Callithrix jacchus: one gene and its partner. The protein of the gene in region 1 purifies or fractionates together with the protein of each later gene. This does not show direct contact. Links are inferred from orthologs where the notes say so. Each region holds a gene or a part of one and is shown on either strand. Other genes may lie near its edges. The genes, in order: CCNK and CDK12.

Evidence for each region.
Region 2: the proteins of CCNK (region 1) and CDK12 purify together in Homo sapiens (affinity purification with mass spectrometry; 6 studies listed by BioGRID and IntAct, with this or other methods). This does not show direct contact. The link is inferred for Callithrix jacchus from reciprocal best matches to the Homo sapiens genes CCNK and CDK12.

Annotation. Positions count from the first base shown.
Region 1 is NC_133509.1:134,366,500-134,370,411, forward strand, and holds the start of CCNK (cyclin-K), read left to right. Parts: upstream 1-1,494; 5' UTR 1,495-1,565; intron 1,566-3,912. Other genes in the region: SETD3 (actin-histidine N-methyltransferase), read right to left, coding at 1,348-1,427. UniProt on the Homo sapiens protein: Regulatory subunit of cyclin-dependent kinases that mediates activation of target kinases.
Region 2 is NC_133506.1:119,957,546-119,961,357, reverse strand, and holds part of CDK12 (cyclin-dependent kinase 12), read right to left. Parts: intron 3,101-3,812; coding exon 2,961-3,100; intron 1-2,960. UniProt on the Homo sapiens protein: Cyclin-dependent kinase that phosphorylates the C-terminal domain (CTD) of the large subunit of RNA polymerase II (POLR2A), thereby acting as a key regulator of transcription elongation.

The DNA of each region.
Region 1 (3,912 bases):
CACTGTCAGCTCCTTTCCCCGAGTGGAGACAGGGGAAAGGCAGAGTTGCATCGCCGGGCTGGAGCCACGAGGAGGAAGAGTTTAACTGCGGAATGACAAACTCTAAGCACGGAATGCCTCTCCCTAGTAGGGCACTGCGCGTGTGGAACACGGCCAGCGTCGCGTGGGAAGAAAGACGACCTATTTCCTACGACCGTCTTTCTAACTGGACGGAGCGGAAGGGAGGCGGGGGCTGGTCCTCGGGCACCCCGGTGGGCATCGAGGACTCGCAGAAAGGAACATAAAACCGCACAGCCTTCCCCGGGCAGCGGGGTGACGGAAGGAAGGAAATGAGAGCGCGACCCGGCCGCACGCAGAGCCGAGCAGACCAGCGCCAGGGGCCCGGGCCCCACCCGAGAGAGGGCGCGAGGGCCGGAGACAGTGGGGCAAGCGCAGGGAGAGCGCTCCCTGCACCTGCCACCACCTCCGGACCTGGTGGCGCGGAGCCCGGGAGCGTGGGCGCCAGAAGGGACCGGCAGCAGCGAGCGCGCGCCTCCCGCCCCGCAGGGCGCCAGGGCAGAGGCCGACCGGCGCCCTCCGACCCCGCAGGGCCCTGCCTACCCCAGCTCCGGGGCTCACACCCGCCCCTTCAAGCCCCGGGCCCGGAGCGGCCGGCAGGGACCCGGGCGGGGGCGCGCGCCGGACTTCGGCAGAGGGGCGCCAGCCAGGGCGGGGGGCGGCCTCGTAACGCTCGGAGAGGCAGCGCGAGTTTCTCTCGCAGCCTCCGGGCCACATGCGCGCAGAGACCGCCGCCAGCACTCACCTGCCCGCTTCCCCTAGCGCAGCGGGAACGACGCACTCCAGCCCGGACACCACCGTCCGCCTCAACCAACCCCCAGGCGGTGGCAGTGGCTGCGGTGGCGGCGGCGACGGCGGCGGCCGGACAGGAGGGGCGGGACGGCAGCCTGAGACGGCCCTGCCGCCGCGGCCCAACCCCGCTCCGCCCGCCCTAGACCCCGCCCCCAGGCCGCCGCCGCAGCCGCTCATTGGTCCGCGCCTCGGACGCATGGGCGCGGCCCCGCCCCGCCGCCAAGCCGGCGTTCCGTTCGGGGTCCTCTCCAGCCAGTGGGCTGACGGCTCCCGGGGGCGAGAGCGGACGGCTCAGCCGCCGCCAACCCCGAGGTCGCAATTGGCTGTGTTCGCCCCCGCCCCAGCTCTGATTGGACGAAGCGCGACCCGGACCCCGCCTACGCTCCCGAGTTCCGTTAGCAGGTTCGGTTGCTCCAGAATCTTTTTCGCCCCGGGGGGCGGAACCGACGGGATGGGCCCTGTGGCTGGCTCCTCCCCCTGCACGCAGCCGCCACTGACCCGCGGGGCGGGCGAGAAAGAATAAGGCGGCCCGTTCCGCTTTCGAGAGCTCTGTTTTCTTCCCATTGGTTGACAGGCATCCTACTCTCTCCGCCTCTCCGGTCGCTTGGTTTTTGTCTCAAGACGCAGCGTGATGACGTATTCCCCGACATTCCACATGCAAAATGGCCGCGGTCGGCAAGGAGAGACGTCGCTAAGGGGCTTGCCTGAAAAGAGGGGTGAGTGACCCACCGACTGCGGGCAGCACCGCCCACCTCCCGCGTATCCAGAGGTCGGAGTAGGTTATGGCCAACCGCCGCCATCCACTGGCGGAGTCTCTCTTTTCGGATTCCGCCTCTCTCCGCTAACCTCTCGTACACATTGAACTTAGCGGGCGGCGCGGGGCTGCGGGACCGGCTTGGAGAGAGGGTCCGAGGCGCCGGGGTGGGGCAGGGAAGCAGGGCGCACCCTAGAACTGGTAGCGGCCCTCGCAGTAGGGGTCAGTCAGAGTTGGACTTTCTAGGGCTTGGGCAAAAGGGACAGGGGTGTCACCCGCGCACAATCTCATAGCTACTGAGTACTCATATTTCCCCGGTTATTTCGCGGCGTATTAGTCCCAACCTTGGGTAGGCCTGAGACTTTTTGGAGATTGTTCCATATCTAGGGTACTCGGACTTTGGAGTCTGAAGAGCCACGTAACGAGGGTGCGACTAGGAATGAGGAAAAGGCACTTCCGCGATTAGATTTCGTTCTTGTGGAGACATCGTCTTTACGGACCCGGTTCTGGTGGTTAATTTGTTTTTTTATGAGAGAAATTGTTATTTAGAAAATTGGACCGTAAGTCTAGAGGTTATCTGACAGCTCCCAAACTATTGTCTGCCAAAGATAGTCTCGGTAATGCTCCCTAAATTTAGATTGCCAGTTAAACGGAGCTTTCGCTAAGTCATCTTAGGTTAGGAACGACTTTTTCTTTTTTTTTTTTTGAGACAGAGTCTGTCTGTTGCCCAGGCTGGAGTGCAGTGGCGCGATCTTGGCTCACTAAAACATCTGCCTCTTGGGTTCAAGCGATTCTCCAGCCTCAGCCTCCCGAGTAGCTGGGATTTCAGGCGTGCGCCACCACGCGGCCAGGCTACTTTTTCTATTTTTAGTAGAGACGGGATGTCACCATATTGGCCAAGCTGGTCTCGAACTCCTGGCCTCAATTGATCCTCCTGCCTCGGCTTCCCAAAGTGCTGGGATCACAGGCGTGAGTCACGGCGCTCGGCCAGGAACGACTGGATAAGAGCATTTCTTAAGGGTAGTCTTTTATATTTTTAAAGGAAAATTGGTGACGTTTGTGTATCTCTATCTAAATCTCTCTTTTCAGATGGCTAGCACAGTGCCTTGCAATTTTAGGTGCCCATTAAAGGCTTGTATGAATGATGTTGCTAGAATGAAAGCGAGGAGCTTTCAGCGCCCAGAACACTGCCTGACGTTTATTAAGCCCTCAGTATTGCTCAGTGAAAGAACCGATGGATGAGAGTAGTGATAGTAGTACTGACAGACATTTGGATTAAAGTTGTGTCGTTAGGATGCTTACCTGTTAAATAATCTTGACGGTGAATGTAGTAATTATCCAAGATCGTTTTATTCAGAGTGACTACCACTGGTGTCTTTGAGGGTTTTTTCCCCCTTTTATCTCATTTCGATTATATTGTGATGCATGCATTATTCATGCTTATTAGTTGATTTCTGGGCAAATTCTGTTTAAATTTGTTCCATTTTGAAACTGTAGTTTGTACTAACAAGGAACAAAAACTATTCGAGTTGTTAATGAGGTTCTTAAATTTTAAATGCTGTTTTTAAAATTGCATGTCATAAAGAAAAATTGGTCATGTCTGTGGCCTATTAAATGAGCTAGTTCATTTCAGGAGATTATATTTTAAAGCAATGACTGCTGAGTGCCTAAAAGGGAGGACAGTGTCTTCTGCTTATTTTGTTTAAAACTGGGTAAGAACAAAAAATATCTAAGGGAATTAAATTCAAGGTAATTGAGATTACAGAGTGATCATATTTTTAAGCTCAAATTGTTTACCAGAGTAATTGCAGATGACATTGTAAAATCATTATTGATAGACTTTGAAAAATCCTAAAAATGCAGTTAATGTTAAAAGACTAGTGTCTGATAAATGTCTCAGTTTTCACCAAGAGCCATTAGATGTCTCTTGGATGCTAGGAACCTATTAATAATCTGTTCTAGAATCTTGTTGGAAGAGCCAACACGTGTATAAGAACTTGGGAAAGGAAAGCTGATTCCCTCAAGCCAGCAGAAAGTTTCAATAAGAAAAGGACAGGTGAGGCCAGAGTTAGTGGCTCATGCTTATTATACCAGCACTCTGGGAGGCCAGAGCTGGAGGATCACTCAAGCTCAGGAGTTCAAGATGATGCCGGGCAACATAGTGAGCCCTCATCACTACCAAAAAAAACAAAAAATTAGCCAGATGTGGTGATGCATGCCTGTAGTAGCTACTCAGGAGACCGAGGCAGGAATCACTTGAGTCTGTGAGAGATCAAAGCTGCACTGAGCTGTGATCGTGTCACTGCCCT
Region 2 (3,812 bases), on another chromosome or scaffold:
TTATTTTTTTGAGATGGAGTCTCCCTCCTCCTCCTGGGTTCAAGAGATTCTCCTGCCTCAGGGTCCCAAGTAGCTGGGATTACAGGTGCGTGCGCACTACCACACCCAGCAAATATATACATATATATATATATTTGTTTGTTTGTTTGTTTGTTTGTTTGTTTGTTTGTTTGTTTGTTTGGAGATAGCATTTCTCCATATTCGTCAGGCTGGTCTCGAACTCCCAACCTTAGGTGATCCGCCCACCTAAGCCTCCCAAAGTGCTGGGATTACAGACATGAGCCACTCTACCCGGGCCTAATTTTGTATTTTTAGTAGAGTGAGTAATTTTTATTTTTATTTACTTATTTTTTTAGAGACAGGGTTTCTCTATATTTGTCAGCTGTCTCAAACTCCCAACCTCAGGGGATCTGCTCACCTCAGCCTCCCAAAATGCTGGGATTATAGGTGTAAGCCACCGAGCCCAGCAGGCCTTTCTGTTATTAAAATATAGTAGTAACTCAAATACTTCAATTTTATCTTCGAGGATTTCCTCCTTACAAAGCAAATCGCAATCTATAAATATTATTTTTTACCCTCCCTTAAAATTCCCAGGAAGCTATGAAATATTTTGGATGAACCATATAGTTTGTGTTTTTCTTTTGAGACAGACAGAGTCTTGCTCTGTCGCCCAGGCCAGAGTGCAATGGCCCAATCTCGGCTCACTGAAACCTCTGCCTCCCAGGTCCAAGTGATTCTGCTGCCTCAGCCTCCTGAGTAGCTGAGACTACAGCCCAGCTAATTTTTTGTATTTGTAGAAACGGGGTTTCATCGTGTTAGCCAGGACAGGATGGTGTCGATCTCCTGACCTCATGATCTGCCTGCCTTGGCCTCCCAAAGTGAGGGGATTACAGGCCACTGTATCCGGCAAGAGAGTTTTAAAAGTTATAGTCTTCTTGGCCAGGCACAATGGCTCATGCCTGTAATCCCAGGAGTTTGGGAGGCTGAGGCAGGCAGATCACAAGGTCAGGAGTTCAAGACCAGTCTGACCAACACAGTGAACCCGTCTCTACTACAAATACAAAAATTAGCCAGGCATGGTAGTGCACACCTGTAATCCCAGCTACTCAGGAGGCTGAGGCAGGAGAATTGCTTGAACCCGGGAGGTGGAGAGGTGGAGCTGAGATTGTACCACTGCACCCCAGCCTGGGCGAAAAAGCAACACTCCATTTCAAAAAAAAACAAAAAAGTTATGGTGTTCTTTTGGAAAACTTGCATCTACTTAATAACTTTTGGGGACCAAATTAAAACTAAAAATTTGGCTGGGACCAAGTGCAGTGGTTTGCACCTTTAATCCCAGCACTTTGGGAGGCTAAGGCAGGCAGATCACCTGAGGTCAGGAATTCAAGACCAGCCTGTCCAACATGGAGAAACCCTGTCTCTACTAAAAATAAAAAAAAATAGCCGGGTGTGCTAGTGCATGGCTATAATCCCAGCTACTTGGGAGGCTGAGGCAGGAGAATTGCTTGAACCCAGGAGTCAGAGGTTGCGGTAAGCCAAGATCTCGCCATTGCACTCCAGCCTGGGCAACAAGAGCCAAACTCCAGCCAGGCACGGTGGCTCACACCTATAATCACAGCACTTTGAGAGGCCGAGGTAGGCGGATTACCTGAGGTCAGGAGTTGGAAACCAGCCTGGCCAACACAGGTAAAAGCCAATCTCTACGAAAAATATAAAAATTAGCAAGATGTGGTAGCATACACCTGTCTCAGTTACTTGGGAGGCTGAGACAGGAGAATTGCTAGAGCCTGGGAGACAGAGGTCGTAGTATGCTGAGACTGTGCCACTGCACTCCAGCCTGGCTGACAGAGCAAGACTCTGTCTAAACATAAAAAAAAGCCAAACTCCATCTCAAGAAAAAATTGGTCTGGTGTGGCAGCTTACACCTGTAATCCCAGCACTTTGGGACGCCAAGGCAGGTGGATCATTTGAGGTCAGGAGTCTGAGACAAGCCTGGAGTTCGAGACCAGCCTGGCAAATATGTTGAAACCCCATCTCTACTACAAATAAAGAAAATAGCTGGGCGTGGTGGTGCATGCCTGTAATACCAGCTATTCAGAAGGCTGAGGCAGGAGCATCACTTGAACCCAGGAGGCAAGGCCTGCAGTGAGCAGAGATTGAGCCACTGCACTCCAGCCTGGATAAGAGTGAGATTCCATCTCAAAAAAAATAAAAATGAGGGCCAGCGCGGTGGCTCACGCCTATAATCCCAGCACTTTGGGAAGCCGAGGCGGGTGGATCACCAGGTCAAGAAATCAAGACCATCCTGGTCAACAAGGTGAAACCCCGTCTCTACTAAAAATACAAGAACTAGCTGGGCATGGTGGTGTGCGCCTGTAGTCCCAGCTACTCGGGAGGCTGAGGCAGGAGAATTGCTTGAACCCAGAAGGCGAAGGTTGCAGTGAGCCGAGATCGTGCCATTGCACTCCAGTCTGGGTAACAAGAGCGAAACTCAGTCTCAATAAATAAATAAATAAATAAATAAATAAATAAATAAAAAATTAAAAAATAAAATAAAAATGAAAAAAGGCCAGGCACTGTGGCTCACGTCTGTTATCCCAGCGCTTTGGGAGGCCGAGGTGGGCAGATCACAAAGTCAGGAGTTCAAGACCAGCCTGATCAACATGGTGAAATCTCTACTAAAAATAAAATAATTAGCTAAGTGTGGTGGCATATGCCTGTAATCCCAGCTACCCAGGAGGTGGAGGCAGAAGAATTGCTTGAACCCGGGAGGTGGAGGTTGCAGTGAGCCGAGATACACCACTGTTGTCCAACCTGGATGACAGAGCGAGACTCCGTCTCAAAAAAACAAAAACAAAAACAAAAAAACCTCAGAATTGACTTTTGCTAAATCCACTTAAGATATTAGTATTGCTAAATTGTTAACATTCTGACATCTAAAATTTTGTGGCAATATTTACCTGTGTCTTTGTCCTTGGCTTTATATACTTGACCATAGGTTCCTTCTCCGATAATCCCAATAATATCAAACTTGTCCACACAGCGTTTCCCCCAGTCACTTTCTGTTTGTCTTCTTTCTCCATAACGAGGACAACAAATTCTAAAAAGTAAAAACAACAAAAAAGAAGAAAATGAAATCTAGTCAAAGAAGAAAGGATTCTTTTATGATGATTTCACTAACTCCTGTATCTTTTATACATTTTACTAAAAAGGCAGAATTAAAACAATATGAAATATATAAAGAAACAACATAAAATATATATACAGGTCGGGCATGGTGGCTCACATCTGTAATCCCAGTACTTTGGGAGGCCGAGGTGGGTGAATCACGAGGTCAGGAGTTTGAAACCAATCTCACCAACATGGTGAAATCCCGTCTCTAATAAAAATTCAAAAATTAGCCAAGCGTGGTGGTGTGTACCTATAATCCTAGCTACTCAGGAGGCTGAGGCAAGAAAATCGTTTCAACCCAGGAGGTGGAGGCAATGAGCCAATATCACACCACTGCACTCTAGCCTGGGCGATAGACTCCATCTCAAAAAAAAAGAAAACAGTCTCTCACAGTAGCTAAGACACAGGGTTGGAGCCTTAGGAAGACATAATATGAAATAATAGATTTGCTGTTTGCTTTCTGACCTCTCTCAGGTATGGCATCAATTATAAAATGGGAAATTGCAGGGCGCAGTGGCTCATGCCTATAATCCCAACACTTTTTGGGAGGCCCAGGTGGGCAGATCACTTGAGGTCAGGAGTTTGAGACCAGCCTGACCAATGTAGAGAAACCTCTCTCTACTGAAAATACAAAATCAGCT